Alligator mississippiensis: one gene and its partners. The protein of the gene in region 3 interacts with the protein of the main gene of each other region in a biochemical or structural test. Links are inferred from orthologs where the notes say so. Each region holds a gene or a part of one and is shown on either strand. Other genes may lie near its edges. The genes, in order: HRK, PMAIP1 and BCL2L1.

Region 1 (10,534 bases), on a different chromosome or scaffold from region 3:
GTCCCAATATTTTGGAATTTACTGCTTAAATTAGGAAGTATAGTCTTCTGCTTGCAGGGAAAGACTTCTGGACATGAACTGACTGAACTTACAGACAGATATAAGTGTACACCACACACACAAACACAATGTTATATACACGTGGTATGTGTGTGTCTGTGTGCAAGTACAAGCAATGTAAACACGTGCACATATATTTTAAACCCTATTTTAAAACACTGTAGATGAAGTTCTTTGAGTGATTGTATATTTAGTTATTATTTCAAAACACCTAAAAAATGTACTAGGCATCCTGCCTTAAAAAGCACAATCTTGATTTGACCAGAAAAGTCACAAACAGACAACAGAATGGGTGAAAATGGTATTTTTCGTCCCTTTTCCTTCCCCTCCCTGAGCTGCCATCCCTTTTTTTCTTGTCTTAACTAAGGCACCAATTTAGGAAACTACTTTGTCACATACTTAACTTTAAGCCCTTAAATAAGTAGCACTGAAGTCAATCTAAGAAGATTTTTTCCAACTATTTGAATTGGTCTAATAAAAGATATCGGATTTACCCAACTAATCTTGTCTGCCTATGTCCTTGAACCAACACGGCTACAACCTACACCACTAAAGTCAATGAAACTTACTCATATGCTAAAACAGTGGTTTTCAACTTGCAGTCCATGGGCCCCTTCAGGTCCACAGACTATCAAAGGGGTCCATGAAAAATTACTATGATCAATCAAAAGTATGTGAATATCCAAACTTACAATTCAAAAGGGATCCACACCTCCATTGGAAATTTCCAAAGGGGCCCGCGAATGAAAAAAAGTTGAAACCCGTTACGCTAGAAATTAAATATTCACCACAGTGCTTTCCTTGATATGTACAGTTTTAAGTGTATGTTTACGTGCTACTTGGAACTGGGGCCTTAAATTGTAAACTCCTTCAGGCAGATAATACCCTCTCCTCTGGAACTGTGCTATATAAAAAGTGTGTGTGTGTGTGTGTGTGTGTGTGTGTGTGTGTGTGTGTGTGTGTGTGTGTGTGTGTGTGTGTGTGTGTGAAACATCTAAAAGGTGAGAATTTTTTCCTGTCCTTTCAATACAATATTACCTCTGAAAAATGACTGAGATAATTTAAATGGCCAATTGCTTTGCCTTTGTCACTGCAGATCATTTTTAGCAAAAACCGTCTTAAACTCAGCTGATGCAAGCACAAAATATAGATGACAATTTAAAATATCTGCAGTCCAGCATAGAGAGGAATAGAAACTAGGTTCCTTTGTTTGCTAGGGAAATGGGTCACAACCAAGGAGCCATGTGGCACTTGGCATTTGAATGTTAAAATAATTAGTGATGGCTTCTTTAATAAAGAACAATATCTAAGAAAGCATAACAACGATCACAGGAGCTAGAACATTGAAACTAGATAGACTGTAGAAAAAGTGGTGTCCTACCAGCAGGATAGGTTTCTACCTCTCTGGGTTTGGTTTATAGGGACAATCTCTACATTTTGGAAGAAGAAATAACTGGGTTTAATCCCAGAAGTCTAAAGTTCCTTCATGTGAGAAATCAGTTGATCCCTAAAACAGCAGGAGGGGACCCCTCAGAATTACTTTTTCTAGTAAAGCATCAGTGTTCTTGGTACTGGGTAAGCACTGTCTATTTAAACCCCAGGAGGCGGCAGCAAAATAAGGCGCGCAGCAACCCTCTGGGATTTACAGTGTGTGAAACTGATGGAACTGAGCTGTCATGCTCAGACTGCACAATGCTTCTACAGTCAGGAGAGATCATTCACCCATCAGTCTCCCCAGGGCATTAAGTTTAGGAGTGCCCCTATGCCACAGCATTAGTTGCTGTTGTAAGTGCCTGAAAGCTGCTTTAGAAGCCACAGAGTCGCATGTATGTGCCCTAGGAAGCGGCAGCGGGTGCAGACAGGACCAGCCCAGCCCAAGGAAGAGGAGAGCTAGTGCTGCACAGGCGAACAGTTCCTGGAAAGCACATCTACGTGAGCTATTGGCAGGACCTTTCAAGCCATTGCTACAGCAGTGAGTGCAATGAACCAGTGAGTCCCAGCCAAGGGACTTGCCCGCACTCGCACGCCTAAGCCAGGGGCAGGCAGCAGCACTGCTCCCCTGACCCGGTGCCAGGCGGCAGGTTGCCTAGGAGATGAGATGAAGCAGGTGAAGTTTCTTCACTGCACAAGGGCTGCAGGCAGCAGGCAATAAGGCTGCCCTGGGGCATGGCAAGTGGCCGGCCAGGGGTGGGTGCGCTCTCCATCCTTGGGGACTTCCCAGTAGGCGAGGTGCCACCCAAGGGAAATCTCTGTGGAACGCAGTTGGACACCGGGCTCAAGCCCATTATGTTCTCTGAGGCAATTTAATGGACTTTACACTATCTCTTGGCTCCGGGCAGCAGCTCTACCGCATTCATCAGTCTCTTTTTTTGTTTTGGTTTTTGGCTCTTGCAAAAAACTGATGCAAACTGTGAAAAAATACATGGCAGAGGAAACACTTCGTACTTGGCAGGGCAGCCTCTGTCAGTGGCACTGAGCTGTCACATGCACTCACACACACACACACTCATACACACTCACACTATCATAATATCATAGTGCTTAGGGTCGGAAGGGACCTAAACAGATCATGAGGTCCGACCCCCTGTATGCATTCCCACTTATACACACACTCACACACACACAAATCCACTCATACACACACTCGCACTCATACACATTCAGACACGCTCGTACACACAAATATACACACACACACACACTGATACACATTCAGACATGCACACACACACACACACTGATACACATTCAGACATGCACACACACACTGATACACATTCAAACACACTGATACACACACACACACTCACATTCAAACACACACTCATACACTTGTTCACATTCAAACACACACTCGCACACAGACTCCCCCATCCTGGGCGCACACGCGTCCCCGGCCCGGGCTCTCGGCGCCGAGGCCGGGGCAGGGCGGGGGCCGAGGATCCGCGCGCAGAGCCGGGCGGCACGAGACGTGCGGGACAGCAGGGCAGGGCAGGGCAGCCCCGGGCTGGACCGCGCCGCTCGCCCGCCCGCAGCACCCCCCACCCGTCCCGTCCGTACCTGTGGCCCGTCCCGCTCCGTCTCCGCTCCCGCCCGAGCCGCGGCGCCTAGGGGCTCCTCCTGCGGACCAGCCAGGCCAGCGCGGCCGCCTGCGCCAGGGCGCAGAGCAGGCAGAGGCAGGTGGCGAGGCCGCCGGCGGCCGGCGCCTTCCCGCGCCGCGCCCCGCGCCGCGCCGTGCGCTCGTGCAGCTCGTCGCCCAGGCGCTTGAGGCGGGCGGCCACGCGCTGCGGCCCGGGGGCCGGCTCGGCGGGCCGGGCGGGGGCGGGGGCGCAGGGCGGCAGGGCGGGCGGGGGCGCGCGGCGCAGGGCGCACGGGCACATGTCGGCGGCCGGCCCGGCCGGGCCCCGCGCGGCGGCAGGCATGCGGCTGGCCCGGCGCGGCGCGGATCTGTGCGGGCGGCGGGGAGGGACGAGGCGGCGGCGGGGAGGGGAGGGGAGGGGAGGGGAGGCGGGCGGGGGGGTTACATCATCCTTCCCCGCCGGGGCGGCGGCCGTAACCCTTTCCGCGCCGCCGCTTCGGCTCCAGCCCCCGGCCCGGGACCTGCCGCAGCCGCCGCACCTGGGCCGCGGGGCGCGGAGGGAGGAGCGAAGGAGCCCGGGGCCCCGCCCCGCCGGCCCACCGCACCCCCGAGCCGGCCAGGACGCGGCGCCCAGGACACGTGCTGTCGCGGTGTTGCTCCGCGCGGACCCCGCGCTCACCTCCGTGCTGCCACCGCCCCGTCACGTACCCAAGTCCGCACCGATGCTGGTCCTGCCCTGTCTTAGGAGCGTGCCCCTGACTACAGGAAAGGAGCAAATGCTTCTTGAGCTCATTGAACACGGAGCTGCTGGGCAGGATCAGCGTTCCCAGGGGTCGGGACTTTTTAAAGAAAGTGCTGCTCAATCCCCGTGCAGCCGGAGGGCGGACTCCATCCTCCTGCAAGCCCACTCGGCGCTTGGACCTTAGGCGGGCCGGAGCCCGCTTCACATGCACGCAACTAAGTGGGGCTCATCTTTAGCCAAAATCTCTCTCTCCCCCCCCCCCGCCTCTAGAAGCAATTGCCTTGCTGTAGGTCCGCTTCTCCTGCTACCTGTTCCGCAGCAAATCTCTGGTCCTTATGGGTTTGTAAACTGCAGGGCGCACAACTGCTACAGGTTGAAATTCGCCACGAGGGCACTCAACCTGAGAGAAGCCTTTCCGAGTGCTAAAAATTGGGGTGGGGTACAGATCGGATCAAGCGTTTGTGTGAGTTGAGTTCCTCCTGAGAGAGTTCTTCCTTTTGGGATCCAAGTGGCATCTATCCCGAGTGTCGGAGGGAAGGGGCTGGAGTTGGTTGGGTTCTTTTGGTTCATTATCTTTTAATTAGGTTTTTCAGAATGCACAGACAGCAACCTGCAGCAAAGAAGAAAAACCAGAAATTGCTTAAGATACCAATCGAGCAGAACTAAGCAGCGGCAACTGCAGTTGACCAATGCGAACAAACGGGAGCCACAGCATTTACTGGCACAGCCGCTCCAGGGAGAGCTAGAGAAAGACAGAGGCTTGTTTGTAGCAGTGCTCTGCACGTTTTTAAACACAACTTCACAAAGAGTTACTGTAATTCCCAGTGAAGAATGATTGTTTTACAAATGTTAACAAATGTTTAAAAATGTTTAAAGACAATTTTTATTTTGTTTTAAAAGTTAAAGCAAGTGCACTTCAGGTGTAATTTGAGATCAGTCCCCGAGGTTTATCAAGGATTTCTTATTGTTTGGGTTGTTTCCCCATGATTTCAGAGGACATGGCAATGGTCAGATATACGGTGCTCCTAGCAGCTGTATTTCCCAAAGCAAAATGTTAGACACTTGGCCCATATTTCAGTGAGGATTTCTCCCATGACGATGTTCCTGGTCAACAATTGCATCCTCTCCTTCATGATAGGGATTTCTATTGTGCAGAGAGGAAATTAGCCTTTGGTAATGTTAATCATGCTCGATATAGCTCAATACAGCATTCATTAAAGATGCATTTGCTCAAAGAAACTTGAAGGACAAGGTGCTCAGTAGAGTGACCATCCCTATTCTCATCCATAATAGCATCTTCTTGGGCAAGGATGGACTGAGTCCACTGTTCCAAACTGCTGTTACCTGGCATGGAGTAAAGCATTTTTTTTCTATGAGGAAAATGTTATCTTCTTTCTAGGTAAGATAATCTATTTAGACTGGCCTGGCCGTTTCTTTCCAGGTGGTTTTGTGCCTGGATGGTATAATGTCCACATCTGTGGCTGAAGTACAGATAATTTTGTTCAGTGACATTCTTGATATGCTTTTGGATGCTCAGGCTTCTTCCTGAAAGGTGGCCTCTCAGCTAGTAAAATGAAGCAGCGAGGTCCAAAATCTGTTTGACATTATGCCCAATTATGTGTGAACCAGGTACCAGTTTCCTTCAAAAGAAAATTCATTGTGAATAAAAAACATACCAACAGTGCGGAAAAAACGCAAAGCTCCGTGTCCACTATCCTTGTACCTAAATGGTTCAGTCTTGCCTGGCCATTATAGGCAGTGGATAAGAGGGAACTAGCTGAGGCTACACCCCCTACCCCGCCCCTGGGAGGGTGAAGGTGAAGCCACTGGTTTGGCAAGAAACCTACAGAGCAGGGCCTGGTTGGTTTCTGCCCCTGTGTTTGAGAGGGATGTCCATCTTTTGTCAATAAAATTAGCATTTTAGGGGGCTTCCTTGATCCTCAATTGCTCCTCGAATCGGAGGTTCCATCAGTGACCAGAGATATATTTTTTATTATTCAGGGAGAACAAGTTTTTCACTTCAATGGTAGCCTGTAGGGCTGTGCGAAGCTTCAGGTGCTGATTTGATTTGAAGGAGATTCGGTGGCCGAAACTCCAAATCCGAATTGAATCAGGGGACCAATTAAAAGGTCTAAATCTATTTGGAAAAGATTTGGAGAGCTTTGGCGATTCACGTAGTCCCCGCTGGCTGCAGCAGGGAGCTCGACCCGGACTGGGAGCTGGTAAATAGGAGCCGGTGGGGGGGGAGGTTGGAGGAAGGGGGAGGGAACCATGGGGGACCCCTGCCGGGCTCCATCCCCTGCCTGCTCCGCCAGCCCCCCTGAGCGCCTCTGCCCCCCGCCTGCTGTCCCAGCACCCCCCATGGCTGCCTCAGCTCCCAGGCCTTTAAAAAAAAAAAAAACCCCTGACTCACCGGCTCTTGCAGCAGCCTTGGGGCTTGCTTCTGGGGGCTCATGGTGGGGCAGTGTGGGGCAGTGGGGATCACTTCTGCTGGGCAGGAGCCAGTGAGTGGAGGGGGGGGGAGTTGTTTTTGTTTTTTTAAATGCCGGGAGCTAGGCCAGGTGGGGAGCCAAGGGCGGGGGGCTCTGGCAGAGCCCCCACATGGCATGGGGCAGTGGGGATCGCCTCCTGCCTGGCAGCAGCCGGTGAGTGGGGTTTTTTTTTGTCAAAGAGCTGGGGCGGACGGGGCTGGGAAAGTGGGTGGGGGATGAGACCTGTGTGATTCAGAGATTAGATTGATTCAGCAGCAGCCAAATCTCCAAATCAGATTTGGCTAAATCGATTCAGGACAGTGATTCAAATTACTGTGCCCCAAATCGGCCAAATCCAAAGCAAATACTAAGTGCTTTGCACAGGCCTAGTAGCCTGACCAGTTATTCAGATGTTTATGGTACTCTAAGTAGATTGCTGTAGTGTGTAAATGGAAAAAACCACAGGTAAGTGAGGAAAAGCCCAATAAAGTCAATGTAGCTGCACTCGTTTACATCAGGATAGAATTTGTCCCAATTATGATGATGTGCAGGCTACCCTTGAGATCGCTTGTAAGAAATCTGAGCCTCATTTGCTTAGTAGCTGTGGCCACAAAGAGCATATTATTCCAGTATTTCAAGGATTGCACTGGCTCCTCTGAACTAGGCATGTGGCTATTCTGTCCATTTAGGTACCAATATAACTCCCATTACTATAATAACCAGAGGAGAGCCATGCGTATGATCAGAGGGCAGGAGAACAGGCCTTATGATGAGAGACTGAGAGCCAAGGGACTCTTCAGCCTGGAAAAGTGCAGGCTCAGGGGGGACCTGGTGGCTGCCTATAAGTATACAAGGGGTGTACATCAGGATCTGGGGGAACATCTGTTCACCAGAGCACCCCATGGGATGACAAGGTCAAATGGTCACAAACTCCTCCAAGACCGTTTCAGGCTGGGCATAAGGAAGAACTTCTTTACTGTCCAAGCCCCCAAGGCCTGGAACAGACTGCCACCAGAGGTGGAGCAAGCACATACTCTGGACTTCTTTAAGAGACATTTGGACATTTATCTTGCTGGGATCCTGTGACCCCAGCTGACTTCCTGCCCCTGGGGTGAGGGGCTGGACTCAATGATCTCCTGAGGTCCCTTCCAGCCCTAATGTCTATGAAATCTATGAAAATATCTGAACACCTTCCAAGTATCTAACAATAGAAATAACTTGCTTTCATTTCATTCCCAGCCTGCAGGATAAATAGCCACATTAGTTTATAGTTGTATATTGGCATACATAGGTGCCTCTATTGTGTTATGTGTGTGTATGTGAGAGAGCAACAAGCAAAGGAAAGATGAAGAAAGGAGTGTAAACATAGCTTTGAAGGTAACTGATGATACTGATGGTTACTGTTATTTCTGAACCTGATTATATCTGAAGGTCTTTATTTCTTGCCTCCAGGAGTCTCTGCAAATTGATTGCTCTGAGGAAACACAGATGTTCTAGCATAGGCAGCAGAAGGCCGGGACTAACAGGGCTTAGCTCCCCCCAAACGCAGCTCCACTGCGGAGGAAGGGGAAGGAGGAGGATCCCCCTCCTTCCCCTTCCTCCACGTGCCACTGCCATGCCCTGCCACTGCACAGCCATGCCCAGTGCCTCTGCCACATGCTGGCCCCGCAACAGCCCTGCACGAGGGAGGGGCGGTCCTCCAGCCCCCCCCCCCCCCCCAATAATATTTTCTCCCACCACCACTGTGTTCTAGACGTTGCATTAGCTGACACATTGCAAGCAGTGCTAAGGAAGTGATACTTCCTCTCTACTCAGCACTGGTGAGACCCCAGCTGGAGTATTGCATCCAGTTCTGGGCGCCACGCTTCAAAAAAGATGTGGAGAATCTTGAAAGGGTCCAGAGAAGGGCCACAAGAACGATTTACGGGCTTGGAGGACAAACTTTATAAGGAAAGACTAAGAGATATGGGACTGTTCAGCCAGAGGAAGAGAAGACTGAGGGGGGACTTGGTGGCCATCTAAAAGTATGTAAAGGGTGAATATCAGGAGCTGGGAGAAAAACTGTTCACTAGGGCTCCCCAGGGGAGGACAAGGAGCAATGGCCATAAACTGTTAGAGGATGGATTCAGGTTGGATGTAAGGAAGAACTTGTTTATGGTAAGGGTGGCCAGAATCAGGAATAGTCTTCCCAAGGATGTGGTGCAGTCCCCAACTTTGGAAGTCTTCAAGAGGAGACTGGACAGACACCTGCTTGGGATCATTTGATCTCAGCACCATTCCTGCCCAGCAAAGAGGGGTTGGACTCAGTGATCTTCTGAGGTCCCTCGCAGACTTTAATTTCTATGATATGTTAAAGGGTCATGGAGGGGAGAGGCTTTTTTCTAAGGTAGCAGGAGACCATCTCACAAAACATTTTGAATATGAGATTTTAAGCTATCCTTCACACCTTGGCGTAGGAGGGGAAAGAAGAGTTCAGACTGCACAACACTGAAGGGGTGCATTTACCATCTCCTGTGTTTCTAAACGTACAAGTTGTTGCATTTGTACCATTTGGAACTTTCATGGGGGCTCCCTGGCTTTACTCCAGTGATGAGTTGCAATAATCAAGGCTGGGAGTTACAAATAGATTGACCCCTGTGGTCTCACCTGTACCCAGTAGGATGAAGAACAAAGTTCTGGCCAGTCACATGAGGAAGGAAGGCAGTGTCCTTTGCCACCACAGTTAGGACATGGTAAAAGAGGCACCCGGTTGACCTGATTCTCTGTGAATAGCACTGATTGCCTTACTAGTGTTACAATTAATTTATTTGTATGAATGACACACTGAATAGTGTATGACCCTTTCCTGGCCCTGTCCTGAAATGCAGGACAGAGAGCTTCCTGTCCTAACTTCCTGTAGCACTGAGTACTAGAAGCAATTTCTGTCCCTTATTTTTAAGCGACAGGGCTTATACAATTGCCCTGTTTGAAAGCAACTATTTGCTTATGGTTTTATCCACCATCATTCCCTGATGAACCAATGTCATACGCTTATAGTTTTACTACTTGATTCGCAATCAGAGCTGCATTATGTTGCATGCCAGGGCAGATCCAGAGGGGTGCAGTGGTGTGGCTGTCCCCCCCTTTCAAATTGGATCGCACCCTGGGAGCTTTTTTAAAGTCCCCAAAGCAGGGAGGGATCCCCCTCCTTCCCCTTCATGCTGGGAGGCAGGTCCCCTCTCCTCCCCAGCCTGCTGTCGCAGGGGCTGGGGAAGCTTCCGCCTGCTCCAGCGGGGCTGTGCAGCAGAGGACTCAGCAGGGGACAGCGACAGCGACGATGGGCAGGAGGGGTCTCCCTTCCCTGCCTGCACCGCTGCCCTTGTCCCAGCTGAGCCCAACCCTCCCCTAGCCCCCTGCAGCAGGCAGGCAGGGGCAAGCACTGACGCTTCCCTGGGCTGGGGCAGTGAGGAAGCGGTAGCAAGAGGCGGGGGCGGGGGCAGGGGTGTGAGCTCCGAGAGGACATTCTGTCCCGAAGTGCTGAGGCTGCGGCGCGCGGGTCCGCCCGCAGTGCCGGCGCGGGACGTGTCGGGCCGCGCGCCCGCGCTGCTCAGCCCCGCCCCGCCCTGCCCTGCCGGCCGGCTGCACCGACCTCTCGGCCCCGCGGGCTCCCAGCCTGCACCCCGCGCGGGGCCGGGCCGGGCCGCGTAGGAACCTTGGTGCGGCGGAACCGAGAGGCCGCGGCGGCCGTTTCCTGCCCGGGCCGCGATTGGGAGCGGGCGGCGGCGGCGGGGCCGGGCGGGGACGGGCCGCCATGGCGGACGGGCCGGCGGAGTTGGAGCTCTTCCGCCGCCGCTGGCGGGAGGAGCTGGCCGGGGCGAAGCGGCGGCGGAGGCAGCCGGAGCCGGAGCCGGAGCCGGGCGGGGAAGGGCCGGGCGAGAGCGGGGGCGTCGCGCTGGCCTGGAGCCTGCTGGACGGGCGGCCCCGGAGCCGCCGCCCGCGCCCGGCCCGGCCCCGGGCTGGCCCCGGCAAAGAGGCCCCGGCCCCCGCTCCGGCGCCCGGCCCCGCCGAGGACGACCTGCTGGGGCAGCTCATCCGAGACCTGGTACGGACCCGCGCGGCCTCGCGCCGGGGCCGGCCGGGCAAGGGGCCTCCCCGCCCCGGTGCGGCGGGTGCGCCCACACCCGGCATGACACACGGAAGAGG
Region 2 (10,542 bases), on a different chromosome or scaffold from region 3:
TGTTCCACTGATACCTATATAGATAGTGGCATTTCATTTCAATCACAGAAAAACATGGATTTGGGGGTTTTTAATCAGAGAATCTGCAAAAAAAATTTCTTTTTGTCAGAGAATTTGCTATTTTTAAACAGAGAAAGCCAGGATCCCTGCTCATTTCTTATGTTACTGCATCTGCTTGGGGATCTAAACTTAATCTTGATCTCAAAGGAAGCTTGGGTAAATGTGAAATAGTTTATATTATACTCAATGTCCTTCGTACCAGGAAAAAGATGAGGTAAATACTGTGGCCAAAACATCCCCATTTTGTGTCTGACTCGACAGAAGGGAACAAACAAACATAAGCTTCCCAGGGCTCTGCCCGAGTCAGGGGATGACAGTGTTGGCCCCGTCCCGCCCAACCCACACAACCAGGGGGAGGCTCCAAACAGCCCTGGGCCCAGTCGAGAGCAGCCGCAAAGCATCCAAGTCCCCAGTACTGTGGGTCATAGAGAGCAATGCAGCGGGACTGCCCTGCTTCACCCTTCTCTGGCCTTTGTATCAGTTAGGGCAGTACAACTGTGTCAGTCGCTATGCTATCAGGTGCATTAGCGTACCCCTTTGGTGAGGCTGGACCGCAGAAGACACCATCTAACCATCCACATGCTCACCCTTGGTGTGAGGAGACCATGCCACTTCTTACACCTTCACCCTGCTTCCTCCCTCTCTCCTGCCCACTCCTTTTTCATGTTGCATTAGTTGCATGTCATTTTGTGAAGGGGGCTGGGAAATGGTTTTGGGGGCAAGATAAGCCAATATTGCCCTTTTTTCCCTGCTGCTTGAGTCCATGTCTGCTTTCTCTGTGGTTGGAGCTTCTAGATGCAGCACAGATAGGTAAGCAGAGATGTATGTGTTAATACACCTGGCCCTACTGCAAAGTTCAAGAAAAGGCATCATTATTTACAGAGAAGCTGTCATTCTTCACCCAACCCACACAATCCCTTTGAAATATAACCCTATGAATCCGTGTGCTTCAGACCATAACAACAGATATGCTGTCAGCAACCAGGCACATCACCTGTTCTGATATGCTACTAAGTAGTCTGTCAGGTTTACCAGCTTCTGCAACTTCAACTCTCAGTCATAAAGAACCAGGCTGTTTGCTAACAAGAGTCATAACATTCAAAAGAACAGCCTGCTGTAAATTAAATCCCTCTAGAAATGAAAGTGGCAAGCAAATAACTGGTGTGTTCAACGTGGTTACTGGAGTCCACACATGGAGCGATAATGCCAGACAGTGACTAATAGATTTGGAAGTTGATATTTGATGCCATATGAAAAAACAAAGAAGAATGGGTTTATTGGACAAAAGTGAGGAAGGAACATTCATGTCTGCAGCACTAATGATTACTGCATGACTGTTTCAAAAGGACATCAGACTGGAGGTACCAATGGTAGGTACCTGCTAAAATGTACTAAGGAAATGACCCTGCCCCAAAGAGAGGTTTTTATATTTTGTAAAAATGGGAGGAGTTAGAGACTCCATGGACTCAATTCCGTTTCTCTGTACATGACTAAATTGTAGCCACAGAAGCTATCCCAGTGCTGTTCATCCATTTTAGCCGATCAATATGAAATGCAAAATGCAGTGAGCCAGCTTCAAGAGGAGCACAGGAAAGGAGCCTGGGCAATGCTTGAACCTAGCCTGGTGGTGAGATCATTTTGCTAGAAAGCAAGAGATATGATTTCAACCCCTTTTCAGGTGAGGGGGCCTAGCACCCAGGTCTCTCCTCCCTCATTATGTGCCCTAGCCATTGGGAAGAGGGATGGGAGGGCAACCTGCTCCTCCTGCTCTTTCATTTTCAGGACGCACACACAGGACAATCTTATTTTGCCACAAGGGAAGCAGACTCCCAAAGTGTGTGTAAATGCCAAAAACTGCAGTGAGGTGGCTAGACATGCCCTTCGGGTAAGTGAAGTGACACAGGATTCAGTCTGACAACTTTTCTATTGTCAATCAACTTTATTGTGAACATACTCAGACACCATAATCACGGGTGCCAGTATAAAATCAGACTGACAGACAGACAATGAAACAAGAGCCAGCCCTCTAAATCCAAGACAGATAATCCACCCAGTGAAATTTCATTTTCAAAGGAGGGTTAAATAAAAGATCTTTCTAGTTATAATCCTTAGCCCCCCCCCCTTGGTCTGCTTCTTGTCTTGCATTAAAGTCCCAGAAGCTATTTCTGAATATTGGTAAAGGCAGTCCTATCAGCACAGAGTGAACTTCTATGCCGTGACGAGCAGACCTCAGATGGAGGTGGGAAGGGGAAACTGAACACAAGGGGTGTTTTTCCATGCATTTCCAATGTGGCACCGGGCAGTTTTAATTAGGAAGCCATGCCAATTAAATGCCCCCCACCTGTCATGTGTATCAGCAGCACAGTGCATCCCCGTGCTGAGAAAATGGCAGTGTTGTGTTTTTAATTAAAGCACATCGAATGTGTTTTATTGCACCACCACCATTTCCTCAGCACGGTGATGTGGGGCACCACATGATACACATAATGTACAAGGCTGTCAGAGCGTGTCAATGGACACGTTCAAGAAGTGTTTGGATGCTTATCTTGCTGGGGGTCATTTGACCCCGGCTGAGTTCCTGCCCTTTGGGCAGTGGGCTGGACCTGATGATCTCACAAGGTTCCCTCCAGCCCTAATGTCTATGAAATCTATGAAGTTTACGTGCTCCAGCAGACTCAATTAATCGAGTCTGCTCCAATGTGCTGGATTTCCAGTGCGCTGGAGCATGCTCCCCACATGTGAGTAAGTGCCCAAGGAGACAACTGTCCACTGTCGTGGTTGCACCTGAGCAGGGTTCTAAACAGTATCTCCACGGAGCTACAGAGTGGGCGTAATAGCCCATATACCTGCCAGCCTACTAGGGCTCCACATGGAGTGGTTTGCCAATTTCGGACATGGTAAGGGTCCTGCTGCTATGCACATATTCCAGTTTCAACCTCCATCTTTTTAAAAGAACCTAATTGTCCTTGGAATCCCCCATGTGGTCAGCTCATCTCCACTCCCTCCTTTCCCCACACCTCCAGTCCAGGGCAATATGGACGGTCTTCTTCCTGGTGCCTTTTGAAAGGCAGCTGGAACTATGAAAGAACCAAGAGTGTTCCTGAGATGGAAATACAATAACTGAGATCTTGATCTTCCCGAGGCTGCTGGAATATTTGCCATCAAGTTCAGTAGGGAAGGATTTTACCTGATGTGTGCATTATGTAGAAAAGGCAAGAAGGCCTCAAACCCGAGCCAGCACAAATAGCCACATTTAAAACATCTCAAGGCATTTGGTATCATAGGATCAGATGACATGGAGTAGGGCTTATCACTTCTTGTCATGGAAATATACTCTAGCTTATTTCTTCCGTTAGAGCTTGCGTGTTGATGGGAGTGGCTGTTATTTTCTCTGCTACTTTATTTCAGTGACAAATTTATCTGTTGTTATTTGGTGTGTCTGCTCCTTCCACCCTGTTTCTTCTGTTAATCTGTATTCATTTCCTTCTGGGTATTTAGCCTAAAAACAAATGTTCTTCTTGCACACTTCTACACTCGACTGACTAATTTTCCAGGCACAATAATCATAAAGAAGGGAAATTAGTGACTCACACAGACAGACACAGTTTTATCCTAAAATTGTGCAAGAGTAAAAGGATTGTCACAGTGACCTTATGGCTTCATCCAAATCATCATACCCTAATTTCAAAACATCAAAATGATTAAAAAAGGAACAGAATCCTGAAATCACAGGTTGTGCTTACCGCTAAGGAATACAAGACAGAATATATTTCGGGTGAGATCTGCACATTTCCCTGGATGCAAATCTGGAGTGTCAGTTTTCTACAAAAGTTCTGTTGGGGCTAGAATTGGAAAAAACTCAGCTGATGATGAGAAATGTGTGCTGTTTGCTTTGTTTTGGGGGTTTTTTTTGCCCAGCACAATCCAAGAAAGCTGAATCTGTGCCTGTACAGATCGCTGATGAACTGGGCCTCTCTGCAGATGCAGTTCCAACCATCTAGACCTGGTATTGGGATCAGGCCCACGGGGTGTAAACTATCTGTGGTAGTGGTTGTTGGAGTTGGACAGCAGCAACCTCACTGCTATCTCAAAAATAAATAATGTGGATTTTCTGTATCTCCACCGTCTGATACAAGTCTTGCCATAATAGCATATATATGCAAATGTGAAAATGCTCAGACCGACTCATCCAATTCCTCCCCACACTCTTACCCAGCACTAGCAATCAGGCTGTAGGGCACAATAAGCTACTGAACAGACTTAAACATTGCCCCCCCTCCTCCATCCTTCTAGTTAACAATTTCTGCCAGGGCACTAGACTACCTAGCTACAGAGTAAGTGGCCACTGAGCCAAATATGGCTCTTAGTACTCAACATGTTTTAGTTACAAAATTCACTCCGTTACTACAACTCAGACCCTGAATGAAAGATTTCACCTACTAATTAAAGCAGGGGTGGGCAATTGTTTTGGGCAGAGGGCCGCTTACTGAGTTTCAGCAAGCCATCAAGGGCCGCATGACAGGCAGCCCAGGGCAGATTAATATTAATTTTCTAAATTTTTTAGGGGCCCCGTGGGCCAGATAGAATGGCCTGGCAGGCCTCATCTGGGCCCTGGGCCACATTTTGCCCACCCCTGAATTAAAGACTAGGTGAAATCTGTCTGGGCTGAATGAAGTTTCCCCAGCTGTCCAGCTTCAGCCACTTTTATACTTTCCCATCTACAGAACCAGCTTCTCCTGAGGTTTGGACAGAGCCCAGTAGAGGCTCATGGCATAGTGCAAAGTCCATCCCTTCTCCCTGATGAAGGGGGCAGGAAGATGGAGTTTCACTAGGAATGGATTTGGTCCCTAATTTCTAATCAAAATAATAGTAATGTATAACAACAACTACTGTATGTAACTCCACAAGGCAAGCCAAATGGCCCCTCCTCCCTGGTCTTGCACAATGCCTTAATCTCTCTTAGGATCGCAGAAAATGAGGGTTGGAAGGGACCTCAGGAGGTCACATCTAGTTCAACCCCCTGCTCAAAGCAGGACTGTCCCCAAATAGATCATCCCAGCCAAGGCTTTGCCTCACCGTGTGTTAAAAACCTCCAAGGATGGAAAGTCCACCACCTCTCTGGGTAACCTTGGCTTAGGCCCTGTCCAAACAACAGGGAAAATCACGTGTGCAGGTGGACAAAGGGAGAAGTGAGGAACGCTGGGGAAATGCTGCAGCTCAGGGCGGAGCTGGACAGCAGCCCCCAGAGGCTTCACGGTAAAGCAGTAGCAACGGAGGGGGTGGAACATGAGCCCCAGACTCGGTCTCCTGTGAAATAAACTGGTGCTGTCTCTTCACCACGGCTCAGGCCTCTGTGGCACCGCTCTGCCACTGTAAGTGCCCTCCCTTGCAGTCTTTTCAGGGAGGCAGAGAACTGAGCGAGCATCCAGACATGCACCCCTCCTGCCCCGCGGCCGGGCACCGCTCTGCAGACTCAGCACTGAGGCAGAGAAGGAAGGGGCAGGCGGCCGCGCCAGGGCCTGCGTGGATGGCCCTCGCCCTCCAGCTGCTCTCTGGTCAAGGCCCAAGGAAAGACAACAACCCTGCCTGGGTCTGTCTGTGCCACTGTGCACAGACACCCACCCACCGAACTCACGCCCCCTAAACCACACAAACACACAGCCCCAGTGTACACCCCCCTGCACATGCGTTCACACGTGTACACTGCCCCATGCACATGAGTACACACCTCCTGCATGCACGCACACATATACACACGTGTATACACCCGCACACATTCACACATGTACACAGTGTACACACTCCCTGCATACACACAGTGTACACACCCCTCGCACTTGCACACGTGTACAGGGCCCTCGCACATGAATAGTGTACACACCCCCTGTGTGCGCGCCCCTGTACACACATGCACACACAGTGTATACACACATGTACACACCCCTGGCATGGAAATACACGGTGTACACCCCCTGTACACACACGCAGTGTACACACATACATACACACCCCTCGCACATGAACAGTGTACACACCCCCTGTGCACACGCACAAATGTAAGCGCAGTATACACCCCCTGTACACACATGCATGCACAGTGTATACACACATGTACACACCCCTCGCACGGAAACACATGGTGTACACCCCCTGTACACACACGCAGTGTACACACACACATACGCACCCCTCGCACATGAACACACAGTGTACACACCCCCTGCATACACACACGCGTGCACTGTACACCCCCCCCCCCCACACACACACACACACACACACACAGGTGCGGGCGGGCGGGCGGTCCCGGGGCAGGACCGGGCTTGCCCGGGCTCCCCCCGGGGGCGGCAGCGCGGATTGGGCGGCGGCGCCGGCGCTTTCCCTACCTCACTGCCGGGAATCCCCGCCGCCGCCGCCGCCTCTTATCGCTGCGCGCGCCGCGCCACGGGCCAGAGCGGCAGAGACAGCGACACGCGAGCCCCGCGCCCCGCGCCTAGCCATGATGCCCGGCCGCACCTGCCGCAAGGCTGCGCCGCAGCCCTCAGGTACCGAGCGCCCGGGACCCGGGGACCGCGCGGCGGGGCGAGGCGAGGACGCGGGGCTTCAGGACGGCAGCTCAGGCCGCCTGGTGCAGCAGGGACCGCTCTGGGGTGGCAGGGCTTCACTGGGTTAAGGCGGCTCTGGCCTTGGGGGGGGGGCTCTTGTTCTTCTCCTCTAGTCAAAAACCCGAGGGGAAACTAAGCCAGTGTTTTCTGAGGGTGGCTTGTGCCCCCGAGGGAGGGGTGCTTTGGGTCTAGAAAGAGTGAGGAGCACTGGCACGAGGACGGGCGTGGGAGTCACTGCTCATGACATTTGGTCGTCTATTTTACAGAGCGGGAAGCAGTGAGAGAGTGCGCGCTGCAGCTGCGCCGGATAGGAGACCAATGGCACCTGCACCAGAAGATTTTGAGTCTCATTGCAAAACTTTTCCGCCCTGGAACGTGAAAGCTGCCCAGGATGATGGCAAGGAGAAGCAGCAGGAAGAAACCCAAAGATTTGGAAGAATTCGTCTTTAGAAAGCTGGAAGAAGAAACTTCAATGAGACCAGGGAGATTAAGCTCTGTGTATTGTTTGTTGCTGCCTGCGGAAAGGCCGCTGACTTCTCCGGAGAGCTCTGCAGAAGCAGTGGCCAATATGGGGGGAAAGGAAAAAAAAAAAAATCGCATATTACAGTTGCCGTTACTGAAGCGAGCGGTGCCTGGAAATGGCCAAGACACGCTTGTGTTTTCATCAGTGTTTCCTGATTTCTTGTGTTGCTGCTGGCTACGCTGTATCCTGCAGCCATGGTCTGTTGCTGAGCTTGTGTCACCTCAAGCAAGAAGCAGGACGCTAGTGACTTCTATTCATCAGACTGGGCTGTACAGTGAAGAACCAGTTCCTCGGCTCTTGACTACCCATTTTCTAACAAGTAAAATTTGTGCACAAATCTGGTGTTGGGACTGTTTCTTTTTTTTTTGGCTGAAGTACGTATACGTTCCCACTGAATTGTTACTTGTTATAATATATTGCTTGAATGACTAAATTTGTAATTCTGTTATTATTATTGTTGCTGTTATCATAGTCTGCTGTACGGTTGGTGTGCATGTTCGAGGTACATCCCCACGGCTATGGAATGAGTGTTCTGTGAATTTTAACAGCATGATTTTTTGCCTGGCCGTGCAGAAGAGGGCTGTTTAAATCATTCTGTAAAGAATGCGTTAAAATAGGTCCAAGATAGTACATGCTTCAGAGCACAATGACATGCTTTGCTCAGACAGTAAATAGGCACCTTATATTTAGTGTATCACTGAATAAGAAAGTGAATGTTTAAGTGTGTATTAGTAAAAATGAGATTATGGATGTATGTTTGGTGGAAGGATTCCTTCACAGGAGGGATACTTGAGCAGAATAAGCTGTGATTGTATTATTTATTTAAAATATATATGTTTACTCTCAACTTGGAAAGAAAGTTGAAACCAAAACAATAATTTTTTCTGGAAAATAACTTTTTTCCCAAAGAAAAAAACTACCTCTAAGAGAAATTGTCTATGCAAATGAATGATAATGATATAGGAGTTACACAGTAGCCGGTTTGGGCTTCTAAGCAGCTTTGATTGAAGATAAAGTAGAAGGAAAAACTCAGCTTTTATTCACTAGCACCCTCATTTCTCTTCTTTAGTGATGGAGGGGCTGTCATTTTTTCCTCAGACATGGGACTGTATTACTAAGGTGCTTGTCTGAAAAAAAACCCAAAACTTTACTATGTTCACCTCAGTGGAATGTTTTGTTTTGCACTTTTGGAAATTAGGAAGTAACTTTTCTTTTCTGTTTAAATGTTATGATCCAAAATACATTCATATAGGATATTTGGAAAATGCTCATAATGCACAAAATATTGGAGACTGCCTGGATTTGACATTCAGAGATGTCAAAGTGTCTGCTCTTGGCTGAAGGGAGCAGTACGAAGAAAAGGAACTAGAATTCACTGTCTTGCTTCCCCTATTCTGCTCAGCTTCTGATGCGAATGACACTTGTGCTGTGCATCCTTTGATTGCCAGATCCGGGAATTCACTACTCACATCTAGCTCAGGCTGCCTTGGCTCTCACATGCAAGTAACTCCTCTCTAAATCACTGATGAGTTTGACCCATGATTGTTCATGAAAGTTTGTTTTTGTGAAGTTTTCCATTACAAACTCTTTCTAGTCTAGTACATCAGGGCCAACTCAACTCTCCAGTGATCCAATTTACTCATCTAATAGCATTTTTTTAGATCCTAAAGCTTTAATTCCTGGTAGGCTAGTTTTTAGCTTTCAGAATAACTGAATTCAAAAGAAAAACTGCCGTTGAAGCTCTAGATTCACATTAAGGGGTTCAGTCTTTGGTAAAACTCCAGCAAAGTCCACAATTGTTATGCCCGACTGGGAATTTCAAGAAATTTAGCATTAGAATTAATAGGTCAAATACTCTGAGATTGTATTTAGCATATAGTTACATGACATACCGAACAATCTTTCAAATGGTCTCTATCAATACCTTCAGGTATTAAAGAGGAGGAAAAGTGTATAAAGCTATGGGAACTGATTTTGGATATGTTATGGGAATTTGTCAGCTAGGAGAACGCACTTATTTCTTACTTAACTTTGTAATGACGGGTTATTTCTCATGAAATGCTGCCATGTTTACTTGCTGACGGTTTAGTTGTTATATGGTTTACAGTGAGCTCAGGACAATTAGTTCAAATAAGTAATCTCTGTATGAGATCTATATATTCCCTACACGGAGTCCTTGTGTTATTTTTGCTGATGTTGTGTCCTACAACTGCATCCACATGAGATTGATTTTTCTCAAGTCATGCTGTGAGTTAGCAAGATGTCTTATTGTCTGACTCTCAGATATTATGTCTACCAACTTCTTGCAAGGCTAATAAATTTGATGTATTTATAACGCAAAAAACATTGTGTTGTTGTAATTCTATTTTCTGAACCATTTGAATGAGCAATCAGGTGCAAACATCCCTCTTACTAGGAAATGAAGGGTATGCTTCATGTTATGTAATACGTTTCAGTAGATTTGCAAATATATTGGATTTTATTTCTGATCCCTTGCCCATAAGCTATAAGCTTAAAGAATTATCTGAATTCCAAAGGAGAAACCAGTTTTAAAACTGGTTAGTGTGTCACCCCCACTCTTGGCTGGATTGAATCAAAACTGCTCGGCTAGGTGTCAGATGCCCTACCATGCATGTTAAGGGGTAAATTGTCTTTAGCTTGGATGGTAAGCAGTTGTACATTACAACCAAAAGGATCTGTCTGTCTAATAATCTTCCATAGCTGAGAGTTGTCAGAATAAGAAATACAACCATCCTACAATTAACACTGTGACATAGATTTGTACTGGGGACAGAAACACATACACAGGTATGAGGCAGCTGGGAGGAAGCTCAGGTTTGGGCTCCTGCCAAAGTGTGAAAGGGGTCACAAACAGGATGGAGATGGCTAAATCAGGTTGTTCATCATGAGGGTGCAGTGAGGCCCCCCGGGTACTTTAATAACAAAGGAATACCAAATGGGTTCCCCCCCGCCCTCCCCCAAATCCTGACTCCAGGTATGTTCACATACTAAGAAGGGCCCTGGGTAATCAGCTCGTCTCTCATTTATGTCCTGGGTCTGGAGCTGATGTGGTAAGGGGACCAGAACTAGTGCTTGAGTGGAAGGAGGCACTTAAAAGGATTCCCCCTCCTCAAAAGCTGCTGGTTCTGGCAGGCCAGGGTCTCTGTGTGGGCATGGTTACCTGCCAGTGAGTAAGCACTACAGGAGGGGAGCGCAATTATTTGGGCCCGTAGCCATATAGGGAGTTTTGCTGAATTGTTGAGAGCCGGATCAGCACCCCCCTCTCCCTCCCCCCCCCCCCCCGCCAACAACTCACATAAACTCCCTATATGGGATGGGGCCACGGGCAGGCAG
Region 3 (11,205 bases):
ACTATGCCCCAGTAATAGCTCTTCCAGTCAGTCTCCCCTCCCAACAACCCAAAAATAGATAGCCCTGACATCTCATGCTCTGTAAATCAAGTTTTATACTACACGAAGTCAGGGTGTTCTAAAAATAGATATTCAAGCCCCAAACATATCATTTTAGCCAGTCTAGCCAATACACTGTCACAGAAATAGGCATTTCCTTGGGTTTTCAAAGCCTTCAGTGGCCAATGATATCAGTGCTATTTATACACCATTTACCCGAGAAACTTGGTCCAGGTAAAGCAGACGTCCGCTAGCTGTCACAACTCCAGACCCTTGTCTAAGGGATACGAAGCAGCCGCGCTAGCGCAGGGCTACACGACCCGGTGAGATTACGCGCCTGTCAATAAAGGCACGCCTGTCAACGTGGCTCCCTCGTTTTACATTTAGGAGGCATCACAACATGCGCAGGCGGGGGGCAGGCAGACGGCAGGCGCGGCGCTATTAAGCCGATTGTAAGCAACTTTGAGAAGCTGAAGAACTCTCGCTCGCCACGTTTCCCGGCTCCTCGTTTCGCTAGGAAACATTAATCTCTTGGCATTAAAGCACGCCCTCACAGAGACACGCGATTTTTGACAGAGTTTGGATTCCAAGCACGGCTGTTTTATTGTTTAAAACGACGTGCTCGCGTGGCGCAGTCGCAACAGCCGTGGGCCTTTTAACGAAACCTGTAGCCGAAGGGGGGGAAAGGCGGCGAGCAGATAACCCGTGCAGTACAGCGGGTTCGCACAAGCGTAGGGCTGGAAGGGCCCTCGCGAGATCGTCGGGTCCGGGGCAGGAAGGGCTGTGGGGGGTCAAACAACCCCACGCGGCGCGCGCCCCATCTCCCAGGTTGCTGCCCGCGAGCCTATTGCGGAGTCTGGGCACACGAACCGTGAAGACGTTTTTCCTTGTATCCAGTGCGAAACCTCCTCCCAGGGCTCGCGGCGAGCAGCGGGCACTGCCAACGGCGCCACCCGCACCCCCAAACCCGGCAGAGCCCAGAGACAGCCCCCCAGAGGGGCGAAAGACGCGTCACTGTCGGGGTGACCGAGGGGCGCAGGTCACCCCGGGAGGCCTGGCCTCTGGACGATGCCCGGCTCGGGCAACATTTCCACCGGGCCTTCCTTTTGGCGGCGTCTCGTCGTTTCTTTGCCTCGGGCTGAAAATGGCAAGCGCCCATCCTTGGTCGCCGCTCTCTCGGGGGCGCGGGAGACCGCTCGCTGCCAGCCGTTTCTGCGACGCCTCAACGCAAACGGCCCCCCGGTGTTTTTCGGCCCGGTTTCCCAGGTGCGACACGAACCAGGCCTCAAGTGCTGAGTTCCAGAAGCGGGGGGAGGCGGGGTGTTTAAGGGACTCCTGGAGCTACCATTTATGGGGCAAAGCGCCGGCCAACAGCCCCTGCGAGCGCCTGTGCAGGGAGCGGGGCGCCCTGCGGACCCCGCGCCCCAGGGGACGCTCGGGGGCTTCGCGCGACCCCTTTTCGCCCCTCCTGGCTCGCCGTCGCCCCCTCTCGGCTCGCTGTAGACTCCTCCGCGGCGAGCCCGGCCCGGGGACGCGGCCCCTCCCGCCGCCGCCGCCGAGCACCGGCAACCCCCCACGGGAGACATCAAGTGTGACCCGGTTTCGCAGCCCTCCCGCCCGGCTCACCTCAGGCCCGCGGCCGCGCCGCTCACCGCGCTCTCTCGCTGCCGCCACCGCCGCCGTTAACGACTTTGAAACATGGCTCCCTCGTTCAAACCCACCAATCAGCGGAGCCCGGCCGCGCCGGTTGGGCCAACCGCCGCCGGGGGGCGGGGAGAGGCCCGGGCCCCCGGATGAAAACAACCCGCCCCCTCCGCTCTCCCCGGAAGCCAGCCGCGAGCGCTGAGGCTGCTGGGATATGTAGTGTGCCTGACTCGAGGCGGCCTGCAGGGAGAGGAGCGGAGACACTACAACTCCCAGAAGGCACCACCAAGCGGAGGAAAAGGAGCGTTCACTAATGGCAGCAGCTGGCCAATCAGTGCTGAGAGGGGGCGGGGCTTCGCTTCCCACCAGCTTTCGGGGGGGGGGGGGGAGGTATTGAAGATGCTGGACTAGTCCATTGTGCAGCTGATGGGGGCGGGGTGCGGACAGACCACAGGGCTTCGCATCTTTTGTGTCCTGTTATTTCCTTCCCGTCCCTTATTTTGTGGGTGTGACATGCGCGCACCTACAGACCCGGGGGAAGGGGCTGCTGCCAGCCCCCCTTGCCTCCCCCACTGCGAGGTGGTATGTTCCCCCTCTCCAGGGTGCAAAGTTGCACGCACCCCAGTTACCCCCCAGCCCCTGGGGTCTCTCCTCCCAGTGCCTCCATGCACAGGTAACTGCATTGCACGCACTGGCAAGCAATCTCCAGGGCAGGCATCACCCCAGGGGCTAGCAAAACCCCACCACGTTGAGCAGCTTTTTTTGACACTCCAAGAACATGAAGCCAGAGCCTTTCAGGATGCTAAAGCTGGGGTGCAGACTCACCCGCACAAGAAAACCTCAGTCTATTCAACAAGAGCACTGGAGAGAAAGAGACTGGCTAGCTGTCACTTGGTACCTCGAACCCTACAGAAGCAGTGAGCATATGCAGCGGCCTTGCGGGCCCCTAGCAATGGGATAAAGTTCAAGGCTTCTCTCCCTGTTTGCCATGACTCAGCAAGAATTGGTTTGGCAAAAATAAAGTGTTTTTCAAGGCTGGTGGAGTCACAAATGAACCATATCCCCAGAGGCAGTGCAATGCAGTCCCACAACTCATTATCCCAATGCAGGAGCTGCAAACACGCACCATGCTTTGGTCAAACTGATTTACTAGCAGTAGCTCAAAGTTGCAGAAAGTAGGTTCAGATTGCACATTGGGAGAAACTTCTTCACAGTTGGGAGAAAGACTGTGGAGTGGACTAACTGCCTAGGAAGGTCTTGCAGAATCTCCATCCTTGGAGGCTTTCAAGAGGCTGGAGAAGCTATGCCAGGAGTGCGCTCTAAAGAGCAAATTTGGAAGACCAGGAACCCTGGTTGGGGTATCGCGAGAAGGGCTCTGCAGTCCAGAGCATATGGGTACTGGAGAAGACCAGCGAGCCAAGAGCCTCTTCCCTTCCACTTCGGTTCAGCTATTTGTATACAGGTGTCTACTGGGGAAGGGAGGAGGCTCTCTGTTCGCTAGCAAGAGAATGAAGCAGAACTCCAGAACGGGCTTAGCGATAAAAATTGATAGAGCTGGAATAAGTTTATGGAGAAGACGGGGTCATGGAAAGGAGAGTTCTAGCTGCAACATGTGTGGGGTTTGCTGTCCCCAGTTGCTGAGCAGAGTGGATGGGGGTGTTTTCTCCAGGCTTCTGGGCTTTGCTGGTTGCCACACAGGGCCAGGAAGGATTATTTTTCCTTTCCCCCCTGTCCTGTGTTGGGCAGGGACTGCCTTCCTCAGCCACACTGGATGCTGGCTACAGTAGTAGGACACTGGCAGTGCATTACCTGTGGCAAATTACAGTTTGGGGGCAATATACCTTGTAGTTTTGTGACAGGGTTGTTTGTGTAATTTTAAGAACAAGCTAGGCAAGCACTTGTCTAGGTTGGGTCAGAAAGAGATGATCCTGCCTTGAGCAGTAGACGACATCCTGAGGACCTTTCCAATCTATTTTTCTAGGATTCCATGACTTGCACAGAAACATTTGGGGGAAAAGTGCCCAACAAGATTCTTTGCATTGCCACACTGCCCAAGAGCAGAGACAGAACAACAGCATTTCAAAGCTTCACCCTGAAATTGCTGCTTAAAAGGAGCATTAGTATCGTGCTTTCAGGGCAATTTGACAAGTCATTCTGGAGACTCACATTCCTCCTAACCACTAAATATTCATTCCTACCCAGCTGTAAGGTATACTTTTAAGATACTTAAAGGTAAAAAACAAACAAACAAACAACCCAAAACAAAACCATTGCCAATGATTTAATTTTTAAGACTATTTTAAGGACTCAGTTCTCCCCACCTTGCAGCTCCCAGTCTGATTTATTCCTGTGTAGAGCAGTTGAAAACAGTAGCAAATCAGAACAGTTACTCAATCACAAGATTACACAGTCACACACAAAAGCCAAAACAAAGCCAGATGGCTCAATTATAACAACTGCATTAATGTCCTGTTTTGCAGGCAGCAAGAATTTCAGATGGTAGCGCACAATCACCACTGCGAATTTACAGAATCACAGAACTCAAATGGTAAATTAAGGACCATTACTTAATGGCTTGCTTTATTCTTCTAATTCTTGTTTGGAAGACTAGGTGCTACACCAGTTAAAACAGATCATACTTCATGCCAAATGGGAAGTATGCATTCACAACAAAAAAAAAGCACAAAAAGTCACAAATAGTAACTTTTGAGCATGACTGTTCTTATATTGTTCTTTATATAATATACTAAGAATATACCTGTTCTCTAAAGCAGCATTTTCAAAATATAGGGCAAGCACCCTGAAAAGTTCCTGGAAGGCAGGACCAGAGTTTAACAGAAAGCAAACAAACAAGCAAAATATGACTCGACAGCACTGAACAAAAACTGTCAGCTAAAGGTGATGGTAAGGAGAGAAGTGGCCAGCTTTGCTGTAATGCAGCATGGACCCCAGAAGTTTGGGAAATGCTGCTCTACAGAAGTCCTACCGTAGTGGACACCAGTGCAGGTCTATAAGGGATGCCACTCAATGGACTCCATGAGGATGAAGAACCCCCGATCTTGGTTACACCCGTCTCCATCACCTCTCTCTAGCCTACAGCAACACAGTACACCTGGCAGGAAGCCATCAGCTCTTAGGAACTCCAGCCAGCAAAGAACAGGTTTCTCCTTGTCATGAAGGCCTATGTGAACACACCCATCCTGCCCTGCCCTTTCTGCATTGGCTTCCCGGGGTAGAGCAGTGCCAGGCTCACCATCACAGCTGTTCAACAGTGGAGTTGTTAGCTGTGTGCTCTAGGTGATCTTTAGATGTGCCACAACTCCTCTGCTTGGAGTTTCTCACCAATAGGGTCCAGCACACTCATGCAGGACACAGCACTCCCCCAGGACCCAACTGAAGGGTAGGCAGATGTGTCCAGAACCAAGGCCCACTCCAAGCCCCCTGTCCTTCTCCCCATTTGTGTCTACAGTGACCACTGACTCTCCCTATGCCTGAAGGAGGATATTGGTACCCAAAAGCTTACAAAGAACATTTTTTCCAGCTATTTAGTTGTTCTAAGGAAAGATATCGCATGTACCCAAAGAACTTTGTTTTTCAGTCCCCATACAGACACCATGCAGCTTACACACTAGAAACCAAAGCAGTCCTACCCTGCCACTGCATTGCACACGCTTCACCCTGGGGCCAGGGGGAGGAGAGAAAAGCAGAGCAGCCCATGACACACGTTGCTCAGAGAATGCCAAAGTGAGCAGGGCACCAGGGCAAATGCACAGCACCTTGATGCACCCTGGGGTAAGGCCAGAAAGGGGATGGGTACAGATTATGGTGGGGTGGGGGGAGGGGGGGTCCTGCAGCTCCCTGCCACCCAGGCCAGGAAGGGGATGGGTGAAGATTATGGTGGTCTGGGGGGGGGGGGGGGGGGGGGGAGGGCAGTTCTGCAGCCTCCTGAGCCTGACCGAGCGTCTCTACCCCTCCCTTTCTCCCCTCCCCACCCAACAGCATAAGAAGGACGCGGGCCCTTTAACACCAACCCGCCCATTCCCCAGTGCAGCCGAGAGGGGGCGCCAAAGCCCTACGCTCTGACGTAGCCAACGTCCTGCACATGCTCACTGGGTCAACAACGCCCCCACCCCCTTCTTGCGCATGCGCCACTACTCACCCTCCTACCCCGCCCCGGAGTGGCGCATGCGCCCTCGGGGCCCCAAGCCGGCACGGCCCTCGCGCATGCGCACTCCCCTCCCTCAGCCGCTGAGGAGAGCGGCTGCCGCTGAACGGGCGATGGAGACGGCGGCTGGGGGCCGCTGAGGCGGCTCGGGGCCCTGAGGGGCGGCCGTAGCGCCCGCTTCCGCCGGGGGAGGGAAGGGGTAGGGGCTGGGCCCTTCAACGGCCTTTCAGGTGAGGGCGGCGTGACGGACACGGAGGGCAGCCAATGGGAGCGCGCCGTCCGCGGGTCCCCGCCCCCCCGGCCGCCTCCCTGCCTGGGATTGGTGCGGAGGCGGGGCACAGTAGTTCCCCAGCCACGCGAACGGGGATGTCAACCCCAGCAGGACCCCCTGGCTGGTTGCCATGGAGACTGGGGGGGGCGCCCCCTGGGCACCCACACCAGGCCACGGTGCCCTCTCCTTCCAGCGTGTGGCGGCCGTGGGCTGTCCTCGTAGCCTCCGCTCCGGGACAAGTCTGCGCCACGGGCGGCTCACGAAACCCCCGACTCACCCTCCTGGGTGGGCAGCGGAGGGCGCCGCGAAACCCCGGCTCGCGCAATGCGAAAGGGCCCCACAGCGCGGGCGCTTCGCACCGTCTTCGGACACCTGAACGTCGCTCCACGAAGAGCGGACTGGAGCCCGACTCCCTTGGAGGTCGCGTCTCCGCCTGCACCCGAGGGACGCCGCAGAGCCCCAGGGAAACTCCGCCGTCTCGGTCCCCGGTGGGAACGTCCCAGCAGGGGAAGCGAGAGCAAGGCTGAGCTGGCACGGTTTCAGCGGGTGTTGGGAAATCCCACCTGGGCTGACAGAGGTCGAAAAATCTCTCAAGATTCCCCTATACGAATAGCCGAACCAACTGCATGGTCTTTTAAGGCAAGCCTTAGTTTTGTATCTGCCACCCTGGCGCTGCGGTGAGGAGCCTTCCAGGGGTGCCCTAGAGAGGGAGAAGCGCTGGCATGTATTGAGTTCCTCCCAACATCTGCCCTTTAGCAGAGATGAGTAGGGAGGGACTTGGAGAGGGTGGGGGCGGGGCTTGTGCCTTGGGGGCGGGGAAGGGAGTAGGCTCTCTGTGTCAAATTACTAATTTGAAGTGTCTCTGCAGCTGGTCCAGGAGGCGCAGCCTGCTGAGATTTCCCAGCCCAGAGTTTTCTCCCTGCAGCTCCTCTCTGGGGGTGAGTACAGAAACACACATGCTCCTTCCCCAGCACGAATCCAGAGAGCCTGTGTGTCTGTCCCTGGTGCACCCGGAAAGGGCGAGGTGGGGCCACCCGGCGTGTCCTCTGCCCCCAGGCCTGAGCATGGGGTGGAAATGGGGCAGAGAGCAGCTGCTTCCAGTGCAAACACAGAAGTGAGGACAATCCTGTAAACAAGGAGTGCTGAGATGCAGGCAAAGCCAGTGCAGAGGCTGCCGGTCCAGTGCATGCTCTGTGGGGAGGGAGCTCTTAGCTCTGAAACAGTAAGGTTTGTTAATAATCTGGTTCCAGAAAAATGACTGCTTAGAATAACATTAGGGGTAAGTCACTTCTCCACTACAGAGAGTGTCTGTGGTGTACTGGGAAAAGAACGTATCTAGGACACACTTCCTCAGGGGCATTTCTGCTCCTCTCTTATGCCAGCGTAAGTCTCTGGAATGCTGGGGTTTCCCTCAAAATGCTGCTGGGCGTTAGATCTTGTCTTTCCTTATCTGTGAGTGTACATGTTCCTCCTCCTACTGACCTATTAACTATGTAGGTAAGTAATACTCTGTAGATTAATAGGCTTCTAGTTTTTCCCAACTTCTTAGGAGCACTACAGCTCTTTTGTGTTCCTTCCTTTGCCACTGTTCTTGAGAGGAGAGGTTTGGGGAGTGAGCCTGTAGCTCCTGGGATCCCACTGAAATGCAAGGGGTCCATTGTAACACTTCCCGAGGTCTGGCCAGAGGAACTGCGTACCTTCAGCACACCTGGGAGCTGGTGAAACTTGACCCGGGGCTAATCCTTTCCAGAAGGGAAAATGGAAAATGATGCTTTAAGCTTCAAACAAACTCCCTTGTGCTGGCTGCCAGCTGCTATTGTTTCAGAGCCTCCTTCATTGTTGGGAAGAGCTTTATGATAGGTGTAAGAGGGGGCCTCATTGTTCTTTTAATGTGCCATTGTTGGTCAATAGAGCACAAGCACATATTTTGAAGGCCTCACCCAGTGCTGGTCCCTTTAAAAAATTCAGGAAGAGCTTTGATCCTCTATGGGAGGCGGAGACCGAGGGGGCGTGAGGCTGAGAGGGAAGGAGGGAGGGCCTTTTGCTTCTCTGCTGCAGAGCTGCAGCACTCAATCAAGGTAATGGAGGAATAGGCAGAGGGTGAGATCCTGGGGCTTCAGGGCCTCGCTGTGCTTTCGTGTTTCCAGCATGCAGCATGGCATGATCACTTCAGCCAGAGCTGCTTTTCCTTCTGAGGCTTTGCCTGAGACAAGGCAGAGCTGGAGGCTGGAGACTGAGCCTCCTAGACCTTTAGCAGAGGGGGTAGACCCCCTAGACCCTATGTGGAGCTACATCACAAAGGAGCTCTCAAGCTGTACCTGGACCATGTAAGGCGGCTGAATGGGATGTGTTGCGCATGCATGCGACTTGCAGTCGTTTGTAAAGCAAATCCAAGGGGGCTTAGCCTAGTTGTTGCTGAAATGGATGTTTTGCTGCCAGTTTTCTGGGCGACTAAATCCTGAAGCCTGAGGTGTAGCTTCAAGGATGCTTGCTTTCTCTGAGCAGTAAGAAGCTGCTGTTGTTAATGCTACAAGTGGAAGTAAAATGCTGCATTGCTAATATGTTCTTGCCTCTTTTTCTTCCCTGCTCTCTAATTGTCTGCTCAGAGGTCAGATGCTTGCACAGATCCTGGAGAAAAGGAGAGTCTGGACTGGGTAAGCACACTGGTGTTCTGGACCATGGACTCGATGAGAATCTCCCTAGTGTGAAAATGTCGAGCAGCAACCGGGAATTAGTGATTGACTTTATATCCTACAAGCTGTCACAGCGAGGACACAGCTGGAGTCAGCTTGAGGGGCAGGATGAGACCAGGACTGAGTTTGCAGGAGAGGAGGACATGGCAAGTGTCCCGAACGGGAGTCCGTCCTGGCATCCCGCTGCCAGCCACGTAGTGAATGGGGCTGCTGGACACAGGAACAACCTGGAAGCCCAGGAGAGTGTTCCGGCGGCTGAAGTGCGGCAGGCGCTAAGGGAGGCGGGAGACGAGTTTGAGCTGAGGTACCGCAGGGCCTTCAGTGACCTCACATCCCAGCTCCACATCACCCCTGGCACAGCATACCAGAGCTTCGAGCAGGTGGTGAATGAACTGTTCCGGGATGGAGTGAACTGGGGGCGCATCGTGGCCTTTTTCTCCTTCGGAGGGGCCTTGTGTGTGGAGAGCGTCGACAAGGAAATGCAGGTGCTGGTTGGACGTATTGTCTCGTGGATGACCACCTACCTGACCGACCACCTCGACCCCTGGATCCAGGAGAACGGCGGTTGGGTAAGAAGCTCCTTCTCCAAGGGAGAGCTCCCCATTCTCCTCTGCCTTGCTAACAGCATTGCACATCCTAGCCCTTGTCCCTGGTGCCCAGGGTGGAACAACTGGTGCAGGGCCTTTCCCATTGTGTTCTTTGCTATGAAGGGTCACTCCATTGTGGTGGAGCAAGGGGATGCTACCCAGGCTTGCCCTCTGGTGGGCCCTTTTCATCCCGCTGTCTTGCCTATCTCCTTGGCCATTCTGTACAAAGGCCTGTTTCCCAGAGCCTTGTGCACCTACAATCCAGGCTTTGTCTGAAACAGAAGGCCCATCTCTTAGGTCTGACCTGGAGTGTCCGTGACCCAGCCCAGGGCTGAGCCAATTCTTTGTTCAGTTGGGACCTCTTAGTGCTAGGCCTGGACTGTTTGGTGTGGTGAGGTCTGAGGCAATGGAAACGGGAATCCCTGGTCTGCTTCATTTGCAAGTGAAGTGTGCTAGAGATTGTCCTGCTTCCTGTGGGCCTCTGCATTACCTGGCAGCCTGGCCCTAGATCAGCAGAGCGTTGCAAGGTAGCACTGAAGTGCAGAGTCAGTGCAAACAGCCTGCTGCTGCCCGCTGGATCCTGAGCAGTGTACGCAGGGTGCTGTCCACAGGCTTGTATGAATGTTACTGCGTGTTCCAGAGACATGCTCTGGTAGCGTCTGGGCTGCCTGAGTTGTGGAAGTGCTTAGGCCTGTGAGATTTTGCTGTGGAATTTTGCCAGGGGGAGGTATTATGGTCTGCGGATGATCTTGCTCACTATTTACTCCCACGTCCCTGTGATGTTGCCTGTATTAGTATTTGCCGAGAAGGGAGGACACAGCGCCAGCTCCTGGCATTTAAATAGAGGAATATCACACCTTTGCACATTGGTGAGCCTGTGGCAGTGGGGAAAAGCTGCATTCACCTTAACACCTCTGTAGCCATAACCACTAATCCCTCCCCAAAGCTCTGGGGGAGCATGGGGACTAGTTCCTTTCAGCCCAGCCTCGCATTCTGGCTGCTAGTGGCACAGGTGACTTGGAAGGGCCTCTTGGAGCTTGTGGAAAGCCAGTGTTAGGTCCAGCACCAGGGTGGAGGCAGCAGGGAGCCTGAGCACCCAGGGCCAGGAATGCCTGGAATGTGGTTGTCCTGGGGCCGCTGCCTGGGGCGTGGCTGCCTGAACAGACTGGATTTTTTTCCAGTTACAAGCAGCCCCCTTGTTTTGTGGATGGCGCTGGGGTTCTTCCCTGCTTTGCAACCCCCATGCAAGCAATACCCCCCACCAGCTTTGGCTCTTAATGCCAGAGATTAGTCCTAGAACCGAGAGCTTGAGTAGAGGTTTGCGAGTCCATGTGGCTGCTGCTGGTGAGGATTGGGTTGTAGCCTGGAGACACTGGAGATAATGCAGTCTGATTTTTTTGTAAGTGAACTCCCTGGGGATTTAGATTAAATCACTGATGGAAAATCACTGGTCCCTCTTGTTGGGAATGTAATACCCTTTCCTCCACCCCCCTCTCCCCTTTCCCCCAACCTAGTATCATTGCTAAGGCTCTTTCTTCTTGTCTGAGCACAGATTCCGTGTTTGGAGCAAATATTTGTTTAGCAGATTGCACGAGGGGCAGGATTCTTGTGTGCCTGACACACCCACTGGTTCCTGCTCTTCAGATCTCCAGCCATCTCCCAGCAGGAGAAACAGCTTTTCTCTGTGCTGCTAGCTTCCTGGGGTGGGTTTGACTGTGTTAGCTGGGTGGTACCATTAGTTGCCAGCTGGTCAGATGGTGTCATACAGGCAGCAGTGTTTCGGCTGTTTGTAAGGTGTGTCAGGCT

What was found.
Region 1: the proteins of BCL2L1 (region 3) and HRK interact in a biophysical measurement, tested with the Homo sapiens proteins (3 studies listed by BioGRID and IntAct, with this or other methods). The link is inferred for Alligator mississippiensis from reciprocal best matches to the Homo sapiens genes BCL2L1 and HRK.
Region 2: the proteins of BCL2L1 (region 3) and PMAIP1 interact in a biophysical measurement, tested with the Homo sapiens proteins (3 studies listed by BioGRID and IntAct, with this or other methods). The link is inferred for Alligator mississippiensis from reciprocal best matches to the Homo sapiens genes BCL2L1 and PMAIP1.

The regions. Positions count from the first base shown.
Region 1 is NC_081833.1:23,410,819-23,421,352, reverse strand, and holds the start of HRK (activator of apoptosis harakiri), read right to left. Parts: upstream 3,709-10,534; 5' UTR 3,483-3,708; coding exon 3,168-3,482; 3' UTR 3,121-3,167; intron 1-3,120. Other genes in the region: FBXW8 (F-box/WD repeat-containing protein 8), read left to right, coding at 10,143-10,433. UniProt on the Homo sapiens protein: Promotes apoptosis.
Region 2 is NC_081826.1:281,969,275-281,979,816, reverse strand, and holds PMAIP1 (phorbol-12-myristate-13-acetate-induced protein 1), read left to right. Parts: upstream 1-6,452; 5' UTR 6,453-6,559; coding exon 6,560-6,605; intron 6,606-6,931; coding exon 6,932-7,044; 3' UTR 7,045-9,526; downstream 9,527-10,542. UniProt on the Homo sapiens protein: Promotes activation of caspases and apoptosis. Promotes mitochondrial membrane changes and efflux of apoptogenic proteins from the mitochondria. Contributes to p53/TP53-dependent apoptosis after radiation exposure. Promotes proteasomal degradation of MCL1.
Region 3 is NC_081832.1:1,641,251-1,652,455, forward strand, and holds the start of BCL2L1 (bcl-2-like protein 1), read left to right. Parts: upstream 1-5,991; 5' UTR 5,992-6,078; intron 6,079-6,987; 5' UTR 6,988-7,057; intron 7,058-8,112; exon of another isoform or gene 8,113-8,197; intron 8,198-8,225; exon of another isoform or gene 8,226-8,446; intron 8,447-8,725; 5' UTR 8,726-8,829; coding exon 8,830-9,381; intron 9,382-11,205. UniProt on the Homo sapiens protein: Potent inhibitor of cell death. Inhibits activation of caspases. Appears to regulate cell death by blocking the voltage-dependent anion channel (VDAC) by binding to it and preventing the release of the caspase activator, CYC1, from the mitochondrial membrane.